Linked DNA regions of Callithrix jacchus. The protein of the gene in region 1 interacts with the protein of each later gene in a pairwise test. Links are inferred from orthologs where the notes say so. Each region holds a gene or a part of one and is shown on either strand. Other genes may lie near its edges. The genes, in order: NPAT and HINFP.

The links.
Region 2: the proteins of NPAT (region 1) and HINFP interact in a two-hybrid assay, tested with the Homo sapiens proteins (2 studies listed by BioGRID). The link is inferred for Callithrix jacchus from reciprocal best matches to the Homo sapiens genes NPAT and HINFP.

What each region holds. Positions count from the first base shown.
Region 1 is NC_133511.1:8,023,430-8,032,599, forward strand, and holds the start of NPAT (protein NPAT), read right to left. Parts: upstream 5,667-9,170; 5' UTR 5,544-5,666; coding exon 5,507-5,543; intron 1-5,506. UniProt on the Homo sapiens protein: Required for progression through the G1 and S phases of the cell cycle and for S phase entry. Activates transcription of the histone H2A, histone H2B, histone H3 and histone H4 genes in conjunction with MIZF.
Region 2 is NC_133511.1:18,778,089-18,787,340, forward strand, and holds the start of HINFP (histone H4 transcription factor), read left to right. Parts: upstream 1-4,230; 5' UTR 4,231-4,508; intron 4,509-9,252. UniProt on the Homo sapiens protein: Transcriptional repressor that binds to the consensus sequence 5'-CGGACGTT-3' and to the RB1 promoter. Transcriptional activator that promotes histone H4 gene transcription at the G1/S phase transition in conjunction with NPAT.

The DNA.
Region 1 (9,170 bases):
TGCTCTGTTGCCAGGCTAGAGTGCAGTGGCGATCTCCACTCACTGTAACCTCTGCCTCCCAGGTTCAAGGGATTCTCTACATCAGCCTTCCGAGTAGCTGGTTCTACAGGTGTGCGCCACCACAACCAGCTAATTTTTGTATTTTTAGTAGAGTCAGGGTGTCACCTTGTTGGTCTCAATCTCTTGACCTTGTGATCTGCCTGCCTCAGCCTCCCAAAGTGCTACGATTACAGGCGTGCACCACCGTGCCCAGCCAATTACTTTGTTTTTATTAATCCTTCTTAAATGTAAATGTAGTTTACATTTATTTCAATGTTTAATATTATAAGTGTTTTGGTCTTTATTTACAAATGTGGTGATATTTTTGTGACCAAAAATATGCCGAAGAAATTCTAGTATATGAGTTAGCCTATGGTAGAATTAGTTACACATCATTTTACTTAAAGTTGCCGTTTTCAAGAACCTATTGAACCTATTAAATGAGGACTTACTACATATATGATTAACCAGTTATCTGCCTACAAAATGTTTCATTATCATCATGAAGAATCTGACTATAACCAACTCTCCATCACGTAATGGGAAATTTTCGGTACAAATTAATTCTAAATCTCAGATGTTAGATGATTGAAAATCCAAATACACTGAAAATACAGGCCAGGTGCGGTGACTCATGCCTGTAATCCCCGCATTTTGGGAAGCTGAGGCAGGTGGATCACCTCAGGCCAGGAGTTCGAGACCAGCCTGGCCAACACGGTGAAACCCTGTCTCTACTCAAAATACAAAAATTAGTCAGCGGGGGCAGGGCGTGTGGTGGCGAGTGCCTGTAATACCAGCTGCTTGGGAGGCTGAGGCAGGAGGATCATTTGAACTTGGGAGGCAGAGGTTGCAGTGAGCCAAGATTGTACCGTCACACTCCAGCCTGGGCAACAAGAATGAAACTCCATCTCAAAATAAATTAATAAATAAAATAAAAAAGAAAATACAAATGAGGGACTAATCATCTCTTATCAGTATGATACAAATAGTTACTCTTCAACTAGTATTAGTTATTACTGTTTAGATAAAAGAAGTGTATTTTTTGTGTAAACTTACTGACGAAGGGGTCTGAATAGGTAAGAAAGTGTGCCTGAGTTTCCTTCTTCTTAACATATTATTTTCAGCTTACTTTTATTATAAGTGGAGGTAGTAATGGGTAACTCAACTGAAGGGGAAACACCACTGAAAAAGAGAAGGAAAGATAAGATCCTAACTATTTGAAGGGTATTCTTTCTTCTTACTTGCAGAGAGGAAAAGATAAAAAGAAAGCAGTCTAAAGCAAGCAAGAGATAGTAAAGCACCCTATAGGAAAACACCTCCTTCACACATTCCACTATTTCCCTAGAAACAATAATCATTTAATGTCCTTTAAGCATGCAAATAATTCTTAGGAAGCCTTACCTTATGGTGCCTTATATTACTAGATCCACAAATAACAGAGAAAAGGTTTCTCTCTATGAAGTTATGACTTACTTGGAGATAGAAGATATATATATATATATATATATATAAATAACTGTAACGCAAAACGAAAGTGGTAAGAAAATAGAGCGGACTTACTTCATGGGAAGGGAGGGGCTGGAGAAACCATTACTAAGCTTGAGGAAATGAGGTCTGAAGGCGCAGATGAGTTCTGAAGGATGGCTGGGAATCCCAAAGAGGTTGACAGAAAGCATATGTGCAAGCATATTTGGGGAACATGTCCAGTTTGGATGAAGCACGAAGTTTATGAAGCGGAACAGTTGGAGATACAACAGAAAACACAAAATGGGTAAGGTTCGCGAAAAGCTTCAGACAGCAATGAGTACATGTTATTCCATAAACTAAGAGGAACGTCATAATCACAGCCATACTTGGCAAGTGTTTATTAAATATCTATGTTTTGGTGATATAAAGGTGAACAGAACCAGCAGCTCTTGACCTCTCATCGGTGTGTCAGTTCTGGTCCTGTCTGACCTCAAATTCGTTCTTGTCCTTCTGTTGCTCTCTACTGTATGACATAAAGCCTGACTCTATACAGACAATGTTTCTCGGGCTCTTCTGTCAGCCTGCTTCTGGCTGGGCTCAGTAAATAGAAAGCACAGGTGGGAAGTTGGAGGGCAGAAGGAAGTAGCCACATTTTTCCCCCATTCCCATTCTGCCTCAGTAGAGTCTCCTCTATGACTACCATTCCCTCATCAGACAAGTCTTGCATGTTCCATACAGTCAACCCAGCCTCTTGGTCGCTTCCTCTCTCCTTATCCTTCTGATTAGTATAGTGGCTTCCTATTGCTGCTAACCACTGAGATGTCTTAGTTGAAAGCTGCTGGGCATCTTAGCCTTTCTCTCACCAGTGTAACCAATTATCTCATTAAATCCTTCCATGTTAAATACTCAGAATGTTTTCTATTTTTTGAATGCATGCTATATCATACAGAAGGTAACAAACCTATTAAAGAAAACATTTACAGATGATAGTTTTGGAGGCTCCCAGAATTCTTGAAGCTTGTCCATTAATCCAAGGATAAGACTACAGAATAAAACTAAAAAAAAAAAAGTAAGTTTCTTCTTTTTTTTTTTTGCTAATCAATGAGAGCTTGTTATGTTGCTCAGGTTGGCCTTGAACTCATAGCCTCGCCTCCTCAAGCACCAGGACAACTGGCCGGAGCCACTGCGGCTCCAGAAAAAAAGTAAGTTTCAAATTGGGAAAATGAAAAAGTTCCAGAAACCAACAGCGGTGATGGTCGAAGAACACTGTCAATGTACTTAATGCTGCTGAACTGTACGCTGAAAACAAACAACCAACAACTCCTTGTTTTGGGCTGTAAGAACTACATATTTTAAAATGGCCAAAATGGTGAATTTTGTTATGTATATTTTATCAAAAAAAGTAAATAAACAGCTACAATAAGACATGATAAGACAATGCCCTGGCAACATTTAAGAAGTACTAACTGTGAATGAGGTTTCAGAGATCAGGTGTGACTTGAACCTTGAATGCAAGCGTAGTAGCAAAGAGGAGCAGAATTCATTTAAGAATATTCAGAGAAACTTCAATTCGTTTGGGATGTCTGCAGCATATGGCAGATGTTAAGAAGTTGAGATCAAGCAGGAGAGGTAGGGAGGATCAGTTCTACAGAGCACCTTGAAGGATAAATGGATAAAAACGCAACTGACTGCCCAGAGGCAATAAAAAACACTTTGATGTATTCTGGCCTGTACGGTATCTTGTGAAATCCCAACAGGGCAACAAGGGCTACTTAAGCGGAGTAGTGAGATGCAAAGTCAGAGCGCAGTATCCTGAAGGATACAGGGTACTTACAGAACAGCAACTAAGTGGAACTCACTGTGTTCTCTGAATAAACTGGACTTGTGAAAGGGTGACACACAACATAAGACAAAATGTTCTGTCTAATGGGTGTCTAATGTTTCGAGAGGTCCAGAAGAGTGTTTTGGGTGTGTGTGTCTGAAAGTAGAAAAACCTAATTATCTGAACACTAAGGGCAGAAAACTTACTTCTCTATGTTCAGCAATTGGCATAGTGTTTGGAACTATCAGGCACCCAAAGATTTGCTGGAAAAAAAACCCATTATGAAGGGGTCAATAACAAGGGGAGCTGAAGATGGGGAGGGGGCAGATAGAAGAATCATGAGTAAATAATAAAACTGATATGAGAAAGACATACACGATATATATTTTTAAAATTGTGCAATGACAAATGACCAAGTAACAGCATTAGGCATAAGGAGGCTTTTTTTGGTACTGTTTACTCCTGCTCTCTTTAAAGTTTTAGTAAGAACAAAATCATTTCAACTTTCAGAATAGAAGGTACAGTGTGAATGCTTCAGGGAGATGTGTAACCACAGCAAACAAAATGAATTGCAAGGACAAGTATCCGGGAAGCCATGACAGAAGTCCGAGTGAGAAGTAACGGCGGGCACACTACGGGACTGGTGGCAGTGAAATGGAATGTGAATGACCAAGATTTTTAAGACAAAACCATGGCTGATTAAAAGTAGGAAGTCAGCAGAGTGGCTGGGTTATGGAAAAGGAATACTCACAAATTGATGTGAATTATTCCGATTAGAAAATGATTCTGCTTTCTTAAGATTTTGTAATTAGGAGTGATTCTGCCCTCCAGGGGACTTACAAGCAGTATCTAGAGACATTTTTCCTCATCACAACTGGGTAAGGGTAGGGAATGAGTGTCCTACTGTAATCTAGTAAATAGAAGCCAGGAATGCTACTAAACATCCTACAATGTTTAAGTACAGGATAGATTCCCATAATAAAGAATTTTGAAGATAGATCCCCATAATAAAGAATTTTGAGGCCCAAAATGTTAACAGTACTGAGGCTGAGAAACCATGTTTAAGACTAGTTACCGAAACTCAACTAGATTACCAAACTGCCAAAACTCAGAATTCCTAAGCAAAAGATTAATCAGACATTAACAAAACATTAGTTTAAACTTGTCATTAGTTTCTTCAAAAATGGATGGTGGAACCATTTCCGTTTAACGTTTCCTGCAAAATGTGTTTATCAAGAGCCCTGCCCAAATAGCATTTTTGTGGACAGCGCTGGGCATTTAAAAGAGGCACAAGACAAATGGATTTTCCGAACAATAAAATAACGGAAGCAAATGGCTGTGAATACTATGGGAGGCTTCATCACAGATGTCTGCCTTTTAAGACGTCGCATACGATGTCTGTAAATCACTGGCTCGGGTTTTGAGCTTTACCTCTCGTCCCCTGTGGTACAATCCCCTTTATTCTATCAGGGGACAAACAACAACACAACCCTTCTCTCACACAGACAATACACCCTGACAAACAAGTGACCCACAAACCACCCTCCTCAAATGAAGGTAAAACTAAGGCTAGAAAACGCTCAACTAAAAGGCAATCCTCCGAAATTTTTTGCTGATCAAAGAAATAAGAATTGCTGTTTTAAAATATGCCACTGGCATTTCACACCTCTACACTGGACGACGTACTGCGAGGAGGGCAGAGAAGGAAGATCACCCCTACTCCCAAACCCGTAGTTATAAGGGCGGGTTATTAGAAGGGCGCCAGGAAGGTCTCCCTAAAAGATGGGGGCGGGGGGCCCGGGGAAGTCCCTATTTTGGTCCCAGCACTGACCAGCGAAAGTGCTCAGAAGGTTGAAGCACACGCAGGCCGTCCGTCAAGCAGACAACTCTTTCAGGGATCCTAATTAAGCGCGGAGGCCTGACTTTCCCTCCGAATCCGGCCCCAGGTGTTTCCAGCCCGAGCTTCCCCTCGTCCCTCCCCTTGCCACGCAGCCTCCGAAGACAGGAGCATCGACATACAAAGAGCCTTAAACTGCCCAGAACCACCGCCAGTCTCAACTCGTAAGCCAGGAGGCAAACCCCCCGAAGCTTCCCCACCCAGGGAAGACCTCTGGCCTTAAAGGTCCTTCCGTCCGGCATAGCCAGGTCCAATACCCTCCTTCCCGCGTCCGCGCTTACCCAATACCAGCCGGGCTACATCCGAGGGTAACAACATGATCAAAACCGCAGCGGGAACCACAATAAAGAACGAGAGTCAGGTTAGAGCAAACGCAGCGACAGCTCCGGCGCCGCATCTCCCGGTTCCAGTGGCGGCACTGAACCCGCGGCAATTTGTCCCGCCTCTTTCGCTGCATGCCAGCCAATTGCTTCCGCCAGAGAAAGAAAGGCGCCGAAATGAAACCCACCTCCGTTCGCCTTTAGAACTGTCGTCATTTCCGTCCTCACACTAGGAGGGGCGGGGCTGAGGACGGCGAGGAGGGGCGGGGCTGAGGACGACGAGGAGGGGCGGGGCTGAGGACGACGAGGAGGGGCGGGGCTGAGGACGACGAGGAGGGGCGGGGCTGAGGACGACGAGGAGGGGCGGGGATGAGGACGGCGAGGAGGGGCGGGGATGAGGACGGCGAGGAGGGGCGGGGATGAGGACGGCGAGGAGGGGCGGGGATGAGGACGGCGAGGAGGGGCGGGGATGAGGACGGCGAGGAGGGGCGGGGATGAGGACGGCGAGGAGGGTGGGTCCTCGCCCGCGAGCCCGAGCCGGAGAGCGAGCCGCAAACGCTAGGTCGTGGGTCATTGGTGGATAGGGCGCAGGCGCGTTTGCTCCGACGGGCCGAATGTTTTGGGGGCGTGTTTTGAGCGGGGAGACCGCGTGATATTTGGCGCGCATGGGCACAACTTGCTCCGCCGCCGCTCGGCCTTGCTTCTTCCTCCAGAAGTGGGCGCTGCGCGGTCATGCCAGGTTTGAACCGGAAGCAGGAGTAGGTACCTGCGTGGCTAACGGAGAAAAGAAGCTGTGGCAGCGGGAGGAGGCCAGAGGAGCCGGGATCTGGGCTGCAGCCGCCGCCGCCGCCGCCTTTGATGCCACTTTGACCTTCCGAGTGCAGCGGTAGGGACTAGGGACTAGGGACTGGGAAGCAACGCAACGGCTTCTGCGTTGGAAAATTCAGCCGCGTGCCAACCAGTCTGTCTTCACCCCAGACACCCAATCCCATGCACCCCTCCGGAGTGGCCCTTGGCTCGTCCTCACTCCATCTTTCTCGGCCTTTCTCTGAGTTCCTAGCGGATTTGCCAATAACCTCCTTTTAAGTGCCCTGAATTGCACCCTCCCTTCTGCGCATCCTTTCTTCGTGTCACGTTAGGGTTCAGATTTAACTACGAGACGTGACTAGTCATCTTTTGATCTCTCTCTCTCATAATTAGTACTTTTAGTCAGCGAGCATTTATTGATGTTTCAACTTTAGCTTCGAGGTTACGCTTGGGCTGTGGAATCGTAGGGCTGGAGTTAGTCTGACTGTCCTCCGTGTGGCCTCGCTCTACTGTCTAACTAACTTGTGAAGATAAGTGAGATAATCTTGACCCGAGGTGAGCACTCGTGAGCGTTACTTGCTATTTTTGCCAGGTACAACTACAATGGATTTTAATGTGTGTGATAGAGGAGTACTGTGATGGTAGAGGAGTGACTGGCTCTTTACAAACTCACCATCAATTCAGTTTGTGGTGAGACTTCGCAGTGTTACCTTGGCAGATGATAGAAGCCTTCCAGATGGAAGGAAAAAAATGCGTGTAAAGGCACAAAGTGTAGGACCCTGAAGCTCCAGAGTGAGTTCTGGCATTGAATGAAATATATATATATATATATATATATTTTTTTTTTTTTTTTTTTTTTTTTTTGAGATGGAGTTTCGCTCTTGTTACCCAGACTGGAGTGCAATGGCAGGATCTCGGCTCACCGCAACCTCCGCCTCCTGGGTTCAGGCAATTCTCCTGCCTCAGCCTCCTGCGTAGCTGGGACTACAGACGCGCACCACCATGCCCAGCTAATTTTTGTATTTTTAGTAGAGAGGGGGTTCCCCTTGTTGACCAGGATGGTCTTGATCTCTTGACCTTGTGATCCACCCGCCTCGGCCTCCCAAAGTGCTGTGATTATAGACGTGAGCCACCGCACCCGGCATGAATGAAATATATTTTGCGGGTTTTCAACAGTTGTGGTTATAGGAATGGATGAGATCAAGAAGACAAAGCTGTTCTTTGAGGTGTGAGTGGAAGAACAATCGAAGGAGACTTTCGAAACAGTGATAAAGGAAGGGAGTATGATCATTGCTAACCTTTATTGAACACTTGCTGTGTTTCAGGCACTGTAAGCATGTATATGGGTCCTTATAAGAGCTCTTCGAGGTGGGTACTAGTATCGTTTTTCATTTTATCATTGAGAAACTGAGGTTTGAAGAGATGAGTGAACTTGTTTTAGATGATACAGTTTGTAAGTGGCTGAACCAGGATTTGAACTAATATAGTCTGATTGCAGATGCCACACTCTTTGGCACTAGAAAAGAATGGCATGCTAAGGGCAGAGTTATTTCTAGGAAGATGGGATATAAGCATCATTGTCAGGTTCTGCAAAGGGATCAAATTGGTTGAGATCTAAAAAGAAACATTGAATTTATCAATTCAGAGCCCTAAGGAAGTAGGAAATCTGTATCTTCTCATTTGAACCTTGAGTGGAACCTAGATATTCTGAATTAATGTATAAATGAACTTCATCTTTATATGGTGACACGCATACTCTAGTTGACTACTTAATAGTTCCTCTACCTTTCAGTTCTTCCAACATACTGTGTACTTTTACATCATAGGACCCTTTGGCAATGCTAGTCTCCTTCCCTGAAGTGTTGATCCCCCTTTTTTTGATTGGCACCAGTTAGTTCACATCTTGGCTTTATTATAACCTCCTGTGCAAGATGTTCCCTGACAACTCATCTAAAATGATCCTCTCTACTGTTATTTTTTATTACTGTATTTTTGTTTCCTCAGAGGCATACATCACAATTTGGAATTCTGCATTGATTTATCAGTTGTTTATTGTCACTCTGCTGCCCAGATATACCTCGATGAGGGTAGGATTTGTATCTGTTTAGTTCATTATTTGTCTAGCTATACGTAGTAAATATTGTTTGCATGTGTCAGTGAATGAACATCTTCTGTTTATGTAGATAATGCTAAACTATTTTGTTTTCTTCAAAGTAATCATTAAGAAACTGAAGAGAAGAAAAACAAGTTCAAAGAAGTCATAGCATGGGGAAAAAAAGTCAAGTTTAGGGCTGCCTCTTCTGGGAAGTGTCAAATCTTTAGTATATTTAAGAATAAAGGTGTCATCTCTTATGGTTCTTTGGATATTGCTAAGGTGTTTTCATTGGTTAGATTAACAGTTTCATTTTCCTTGTTGACTCAAGAGGGCTTTAAACTGAAACTGAAGAAGTAGGAAGATCTCTAGATAAAACCATAAGGAATGTGAAAGCAAAAGTGACAATACTTGTCCACAGGAAGTATATCATCAAATGAAAAGTACTCAAATAACAACCTGTAATCTACAGCAGAGTAAACGGAAGGTTGTAATAGTGTTGCGGGGGTTGGGGGAGGTCAGAAGAATGACCAGTGAATACAAATGGAGAAGAGAATTATGCTGGTTTTTTTTTTTGAGACAGTCTCACTCTGTCACCCAGGCTGGAGTGCAGTTGTGCTATATCGACTTACTGCAACTTCTGCCTCCTGGGATTGAATGAAGCCTCCCCAGTAGCTAGGATTACAGGCATGTGCCACCACACCTGGCTAATTTTTGTGTTTTTAG
Region 2 (9,252 bases), about 11 Mb from region 1:
GGGGGAAGTCTTAGAAGTGTTTCGACATAAAAAAAATTCTCTTGTTCTGAAATGTGGGCACATTTCAGGGATTTGCAGATCCTAGCAAACTCTATGTCGCTGGTTCCTGTGCTCTGGGATCTTATACAGAACTTGAACCAGGTAAGCTGCTACAGGATATTGGACAGAATGCAAGACCAGGAAGCAAGAAAACTGAGTCTGCCACAAACAAACCACGTGATCTTGAGCAGGCAACTTCTCCTTTGTGGACCTGAATTTCCTCATGTCTAAAATAAGGGTGACCTGGATAATCATTCAGGTGATATCCCGCCTTGATGTTCTATGACTAACTGCATCTCAAGGTGTTTAGGGCACATACCTTTGGGTAGATAGCACGTGGAAATTGTTAGTATTCCTCAGGCTCCTGTCCACACTACTCACCAAATATGAGATATCTGGGAAGAACGGAGGGTATAGATATTTGGTTATTTTTTTTTTTCAATTAAATAATTTGGTTGGGGCCAGGTGCAGTGGCTTATGCCTGTAATCCCAGCACTTTGGGAGGCTGAGGTGGGTGGATCATGAGGTCAGGAGATCAAGACCATCCTGGCCAACATGTGAAACGCTGTCTCTACTAAAAACAAAAAAATTAGCTAGGTGTGATGGTGCACGCTTGTAGTCCCAGCTACTTGGGAGGCTGAGGCAGGAGAATTGCTTGAACCCAGGAGGTGGAGATTGCAGTGACCCGAGATTGTGCTACTGCACACTACAGCCTGGGTGACAGTGCAAGACTCCACTTCAAAAAAAAAAAAAAAAAGAATTTAATTTTGTATATATGGGGGGACAAATGCAGGTGTCTCTTTTTTTTCTATTTTTTTATAATTTTTTATTGAGACAGGTCACTCCCATCACCTAGGAGGCTACTTCATTTATTAAATAACAATGAAAAGTCATTTGAATAATAATTTTGCAAAAGGTAATCAGTTTATAATTTTTCCATTCACTCTGGAGACTTACATGCAGGCTATTTCTTCCAGGCTACTGAAAACATGGTGGACGTTTCTGTGCCACTCACGGTAAAAACAATTCTTTTTTTTTTTTATAGTTTAAGTTCTGGGGTACATGTGCAGATCTTGCAGGAAGTGCAGGTTTCTTACATGCATATATTGCATGCATAGGGATGAACTCGGCTTTTTTTAGTGTATGCATCGCCCAAATAGTGAACATAGTACCCAATAGATAGTTTTTCAACCCTCACCTTCCTCCTACCTTCTCACATTTTATAGTCTCCAATGTCTATTATGCCACTCTGTATGTTCATATGTACCCATTATTTAGCTCCCACTTATAAGTGAGAATATACCATATTTGACTTATTGTTTCTGAGTTATATCACCAAGGATAATGGCCTCCAGTTCCAACCATGTTGCTGGAAAACACATACTTTCATTTTTTTATGGCGAGTAGTATTCCACTGTGTGTGTGTGCATACACACACAACATTTTCTTTTTTTTGAGACGGAGTTTCGCTCGTTACCCACACTGGACTGCAATGGCACGATCTCGGCTCACCACAACCTCCACCTCCTGGGTTCAAGCAATTCTTCTGCCTCAGCCCCCCTCCTGAGTACTCAGCTAATTTTTGTATTTTTAGTAGAGACAGGGTTTCACCTTGTTGACCAGGCTGGTCTCTATCTCTTGACCTCATGATCCACCTGCCTCAGCCTCCCAAAGTGCTGGGATTATAGGCGTGAGTCACCGCGCCCAGCCTTACAACATTTTCTTTATCCAATCCTCCATTGATGGACACATTGATTTGGCTGATTTTTCATAATGAAATGCTTATCTCTAGGTCATGAAAATTCAAAGAGATTTTCAAGCTGTTTCCCCTAATCTAAGAAATGTAACTCTTAGTGGTTCATAGAGGAACAGTTTGTTTACCAGTATGACACAACAACCAAACACAGTGAACTTGTGATTGCACAAGAAACTTGTTGATGGAAGAACAGGTATTCAGATTTCTACTGGACCTGGGAATTGAGTAGATGGTAACTGGATTCTGTATTGAGCTTCCAGTGCTGAGCTGCCCAGAGTTCCATGGAATCACATAATTTAGTGAAGAAGAGCCTGATCACATTTCAAAAATAGGGAAATTTAGATGAATGAAACATACTTTCATCAGCTTAATCCATTTCACACTTTCAGAAGAGATCCACAGCTTTTAATGAGTATGACTTACGCTCTCAGTTTTTATGGCAGCTTTTAAAGAACAAATCTCAGGAAATGTCTGAATTACCCAGCCAAAACTGTGGCTTGTTTTCAAGAGAAGCAGATTGAGATAGAAGTAAACTATGCTAGACAGCATGACACTGCTTTAAAATTTGGAAACATATATATGGATCCCAGAGCAATCCTGGAATTTTTGCTCTGTAACCTATGTTTGAGTTTACACAGCTCTGTGAATGAACTTTTTCTTCATGAAATTGCTAAATAAAGCTAAAAGCTATTTTCATTTTCAGTGGTGTAAATCTGAATTAAAATGAGGTTGGCACTTCATGACATACTACTATAACTGTATTTTTGAATGAATAAAGTTGGTAAGATATATTTTATTACTTTCGAATTACATATATATATGTGTGTTGAGACAGAGTCTCACCCTGTCGCCCAGGGTGGAATGCAATGGTGCAATCTTGGCTCACTGCAACCTCTGCCTCCATGGTTCAAATGATTCTACTGCCTCAGCTTCCCTCGAAACTGTGATGACAGTCGCCCACCACCATGCCCAGCTAATATTTGTATTTTTAGTAGAGATGGGTTTTCACCATGTTGGCCAGGCTGGTCTCAAGCTCCTAACCTTGTGATCCACCCGCCTCAACCTCCCAAAGTGCTGGGATTACAGGCGTGAGCCCCTGCGCCTGGCCCTGAATAAAATTTTTTTTTTTTTTTAGACAATGTCTCACTCTGTTGCCCAGGCTGGAGTGCAGTGGTGCGACCTCTGCTCACTGCAACCTCTGCCTCCCAGGTTCAAGCGATTCTCCTGCCACAGGCTCCCGAGTAGCTGGGACTATAGGTGCCCGCCACCATGCCCAGCTAATTTTTGTATTTTTAGTAGAGACAGGTTTTCGCCATGTTGGCCAGGCTGGTTTCAAACTCCTGACCTCATGATCCGCCCGCCTCGGTCTCCCAAAGTGCTGGGATTACAGGCATGAGCCACAACGCCTGCAAAACCGTATTTTAAAATAGGGACCAAGTTATAGCTCACTGTTGTTAAAACCAAACTTTATGCACAAGTATGACCTTACTATCTTAATGGCATTTTAAAATTTATTTCAGGGCCGGGTGCGGTGGCTCACGCCTGTAATCCTAGCACTGTGGGAGGCTGAAGTGGGTGGATCTCTTGACCTCATGATCCGCCCGTCTTTACGGGCGTGAGCCACCGCGCCTGGCCTGCAAAGATCCCTTTGAGTGCTCTGTGGAGAATGCTTTGGAAGGAAGCAAGTGTGCACGCAGCGGGACCTGTTAATGTATAAATCCTCCCTGGACCTCATCATTGGACAGGGGAGGTGGGGAGGCAGTGAAGATAAAGAAAAGGGGATGAATTTGAAAGATCCTGTTTTTAAAAAAGGTAGAATCCATAGAACTTGGCAATGGATTGGATGTGATCAGTGAGAGAGAGGAATCAGTGATGACTGCCAGGTTTCTGACCTGAACAAATGGATGGATGAAGGGAAGCCGAGTTTGGGGGGAAAGAGAAGCAAACGTATAATACCAACATTTAAGACATATGACTAAGAAGCTTAAGGAAAGGGTAGAACCGTAGAACCTTCAGTCTGTCCCTAGCGGGGCCGATAGCGCTGGGCAGCCTCCCACGCCTTTTCCTCCGGGAGGCCCACGCAACCAGCGAACTCAAGGCGAAGAACCACGTGAAGGAGACCCCACTAGGCACCAATCGCGGGCCCTGCGCATGCCCATTGAGTCCCGGAGGCCGAGTCTGCGCAGTTAGGGGAACTCTGGCCCGTAGGCTCCCCGCCTGTGCGTCGCCCCGAGCGCCTAGGCGCTGTCAAGCGCTACCTTTTTCACGTATCCGGTCGCCCCTCAGTCAACCCGGGACGCCGAGCCCCACCCACCGTTCCCGCCCCTTCCGTGTTTTGGTGCACACGGGTTCCGCCAGACCCAGCTGCCATTGGTTGTCAGTCGGATCCGACAGCGACGATTGGCTTTCCTTGACCGTCCCTCAAGAGCCTTCCCGGAGATTGAAGTAGGAGAAGAGCTGAGGAGACCCGGAGCCGACGGACGGTAAGCTGGGACGTGTGCTCTGCAGGGGCTAGCAGGAGCCCAAGCTCTTCCCGAGCCACCTCGGCGAGTCTTCTTGCCGCTTGGCCACTCTGGTCTGCCCTGGTCTTTCCCCTCACCCCGACTCCAACCTCCCTGCTTTCTAGTGTAGGGGCTTCGCTGCGGCTGAGACTCGGTCGCCGCCACGCCTTAGAGGAAGGATTCCGGGAAGCTTGCGGGACTGCGAGTGACAGGTTTTGCCCAACGAGACGGTCTCCTTCCTTCTGTCCGAATTCTACCTTTCCTTCGAGGCGTGGTGCGGGACCCACAGCTTAGGGGAGCCTTCCTTCTCGCCTGACCGGGGGTGGGGGGGTGTCGGGGGGCAGGTTTCTCTCTGTCCTGGTCTCCCTCAACGGGTACTTTGCTTTGGTCGTTGTCTTCACATATCAGTCATATCTTTTTGGCCAAATTGTGAGTTCTTAGGCGTTTGGGACCTGAGCCCTCTTTTTATTGAATACTAGAGTTCATTCATGGTCTTGCGTTACAGTATATGCTCTCTTTTTTATTTTTTTGAGACGGAGTTTCGCTCTTGTTACCCAGGCTGGAGTGCAATGGCCCGATCTCGGCTCACCGCAACCTCCGCCTCCTGGGTTCAGGCAATTCCCCTGCCTCAGCCTCCCGAGTAGCTGGGATTACAGGCGCGCGCCACCGTGCCCAGCTAATTTTTTGTATTTTTAGTAGAGACGTGGGTTTCACCATGTTGACCAGGATGGTCTCGATCTCTTGACCTCGTGATCCACCCGCCTCGGCCTCCCAAAGCAGTATATGCTCTCTTAAGTCTTAAGAGGGTAAAGTGATGATCATGCCCCTATCTCCTCAGAGTAGAAACTAACGGCGCAGAAAGAGATATTAAAGAAGGCAAGAGGACAGTGAGAGAGAGATAGGGAGCTTTGCCTAGGTTTCACATCATTCTATATCTCCAGGTAGCTGGCCTCCGTGGTCTTACCCACCAGTCTAACAGTAGGTGTTTGTTTAGAATATTTGTGCTTGGCACAGTGTAGGGACACAGGCCGTTCTGATATGGTTTCTTTTGAGAAGCTTCTGGTTGTCCAATTGGGTAAGTGAGACTACAATATATAAAACGACATGGCAATATAAAAATAGGGTTGGGCCGGGCGCAGTGGCTCACGCCTGTAATCCCAGCACTTTGGGAAGCTGAGGCGGGTGGATCACGAGGTCAAGAGATCGAGACCATCCCGGTAAACATGGTGAAACCCCGTCTGTACTAAAAATACAAAAAATTAGCTGGGCACGGTGGCACGTGCCTGTAATCCCAGCTACTCAGGAGGCTGAGGCAGGAGAATTGCCTGAACCCAGGGGGCAGAGGTTGCGGTGAGCCGAGATCGGGCCATTGCACTCCAGCCTGGGTAACAAGAGCGAAACTCCGTCTCAAAAAAAAAAAAAAAAAAAAAATAAGGTTGAGGTTTTATGGTGTCGCCTGTGCCAGCCATAGAACCAAGGAGCAAGAGTAGATTCAGAAATAAGGTAGTTTAGAAAGGCTTCCTGGAATGTGATTATCTCCTGATATTTACTGAGTGCTTGGAGTGTACAAAGCTCTGTGCTGAATCAGAATGAGAAGTGAATGAGTGATGGCCACTGTCCTGAGAAACTCCTAGTCTAGGGGAAACAAATTTCATTTCATTGATAGCGAAGATGTGTATAGATACTGTGGGCAGGAGATAGGATGTGCCAGCTGTACCTGGATGCATCGGGAAAGGGGTCATCAGAGAGGACTTTTGGGTTTGAAGGGCGAATAGGCCTGGCGCAGTGGCTCACACCTGTAATCCCAGCACTTTGTGAGGCCGAGGCAGGCGGATCACTTGAGGTCAGGAGTTTGAGACCAGCCCGGCCAACATGGTGAGACCCCCATCTCTATTAATATTACAAAAATTAGCTGGTCATGGTGGCATGTGCCTGTAGTCCCCGCTGTAATACTTTGGAGACTAAGTCACGAGAATCACTTGAACATTGGGAGATGGAGTTTGCATTGATCCCAGATCGCACTACTACACTCTAGCCTGAGGGACAGAGCAAGACTCTGTCTCAAAAAAAAAAAAAAGTTGCGTAGGCAGAGAGTTTTAGGGGAATGTAGAGTATTCAGAGACAAAGATGACTTAATCAGAGGAAGAGAGAATGAAGTATGGGTGAGGAAGCCAGACAGCATCATCGTGTGGGAGAAAGAGCCTGATCTTTGGATTGGAATGAGGGTGCTCTTACATCAGATGAAGTGTAGAGAGGACGCACCACAGGGCTGACACACCATAGCCTCTCAATAGATGTTCATTTTTCTACTTAGACCTGGAGAATTGAGACCCCTTTGAGAAGGGCTTTCATACTGTAGGTGATATACAGTCAGAGGCGGTGTGGGATTTTATGTCTTTTTTTTTTTTTTGAGATGGAGTTTTGCTCTCCTTGCTAAGGCTGGAATGCAATGGCACCATCTTGGCTCACTGCAACGTCCACCTCCTGGGTTCAAGCAGTTCTCCTGCCTCAGCCTCCTGAGTAGGTGGGATTACAGGTGTGTGCCACCACACTTGGCTAATTTTGTATTTTTAGTAGAGATGAGGTTTCTCCATGTTAGGCTGGTCTTGAACTCCCAACCTCAGGTGTTCTGCCCACCTCGGCCTCCCAAAGTGCTGGGATTACAGGCATGAGCCACTGTGTCTGTTTTGTTTTTGTTTTTGTTTAGACAGGGTCTGGCTCTGCCATCCAGGATGGAATACAATGGTGCGATCTTGGCTCACTGCAACCTTTGCCTCCTGGGCTCTAGCTATCCTCCCGCCTCAGTCTCCCGAGTAGCTGGGACTATAGGTGCGTGCTACTATACCTGACTGATTTTTGTATTTTTAGTAGAGACAGAGTTTTGCCATGTTGTCCAGGCTGGTACAAACTCCTGAACGCAAGTCATCTCCTCGCCTTGGCCTCCCAAAGTGCTGGGATTGTGAGCCACTGCGCTTGGCCCAGCAGTCAGTATTTGTAATAGGATTCACTGTTAGTCTGTGAGCAGCTCAGCAACCCCGTGTACACCCCAGAGTGGTAAGGGTGACTGGATACTTCTCTGAGGAGGAGAAAAGACTATGTAGGCATAATAGGTATAGTAGGTTCAGAAAAGCCTGTACTGGAGAAATGAAAGATCTTCTGTTTTTTTATATTTTCTGTCTTTTTCCTTTTAGTATTCAATAAGGCCTTTTTCAGAGTTCCCACCTCTCTCAGGTTGGCTAGAGAGAGCAACTTGGTGGGGTCAGCAAGAATCAGTGAGAATTTCTGAGGAGAAGTGACACTCAGGAGACAGAGCCAAGGCATCTTAGTGTCCTCTCTCTACCAGAAGTTTTGCTTGCAATGTCACCCTCTGTTCTGTGTTTTGTTTATTCTATTATTGTTATTCAAAGTATGCTTCTGAAACTGCTTATATCAGAACCGGGGTGCTGACTAAAAAGGGCAGATTTCTAGGTTAACTGCTGCCCTCCTAAATCCAAACTTCTCTGGCAGGTGCTGGATAACTCTACATTTGTCTGCAGATCTGTAATCCCAGCACTGTGGGAGGCCGAGGCGGGTGGATCACCTGAGGTCAGGGGTTTGAGACCACCCTGGTCATCTTGATGAAATCCCATCGCTACTAAAAATAAAAGAATTCGCTAGATGTGGTGGCATGCCTGTAATCCCAGCTACTCAGGAGGCTGAGGCAGGAGAGTCGGTTGAACCCGCGAGGAGGAGGTTGCAGTGAGCCAAGATTGCACCCCTGCACTCTAGCCTGGGTGACAGAGGGAGACTCTGTCTCAAAAAATAAAAATAAAATAAAATTGAGAACCTTTAGGTTTTGTTTTGTTTTGTTTTGAGACAAAATCTCACTCTGTTGCCCAGGCTGGTGTATGGTGGCACGATCTTGACTCATTGCAGCCTCTGCCTCCCAGGTTCAAGTGATTCTCCTGCCTCAGCCTCCCAAGTAGCTGGGATTACAGGCTTATGCCACCATGCCTGGCTAATTTTTGTATTTTTAGTAGAGATAAGGCAGGGTTTCACCATGTTGGCCAGACTGGTCTCGAACTCCTAACCTCAGATGATCCACCCACCTTGGCCTCCCAGAATGCTGTGATTGTATGACACTTTGAAAGTCTTGTCAGGGGACTTACGATTCAGTAAGAAATAAGGAGCTTCTGGGTTCATCTGCAGACTACATGGAGTAGAAAGAGTACAAACTCTAGAGTCAGCCCAATATGGCCCTACCATTACCACTAGTGTTGCCATGAGCAAGTCACTTGATCTCTGGAACTTCAGTTGTTTATCTATAAATGATGTTAAAAATAGCACCTACCAGCTGGGCGAGGTGGCTCATGACTGTAATCCCAGCACTCTGGGAGGCAGAGGCGGGTGAATCACCTGAGGTCAGGAGTTCGAGACTAGCCTGGCCAATATGAGGAAACCCTGTCTCTACAAAAAATACAAAAATTAGGCTGGGCGTGGTGGCTCATGCCTATAATCCCAGCACTTTGGGAGGCCGAGGTGGGTGAATCACGAGGTCAAGAGATCGAGACCATCCTGGTCAACAAGGTGAAACCCCGTCTCTACTAAAAATACAAAAATTAGCTGGGCATGGTGGTGCTTGCCTATAGTCCCAGCTACTCGGGAGGCTGAGGCAGGAGAATTGCTTGAACCCAGAAGGTGGAGGTTGCGGTGAGCCGAGATCGTGCCATTGTACTCCGTCTGGGTAACAACAGCGAAATTCCATCTCAAAAAAAAAAATACAAAAATTAGCGTGGCATGGTGGTGGGTACCTGTAATCCCAGCTACTCGAGAGGCTGAGGCAGGAGAATTGCCTGAACCCGGGAGGCAGAGGTTGCAGTGAGCCGAGATCGAACCATTACACTTTAGCCTGGGAGATAAGAGCAAAACTCAGTCTCAAAAAAAAGCGAAATAAATAAATAAATAAATAAAAGCACC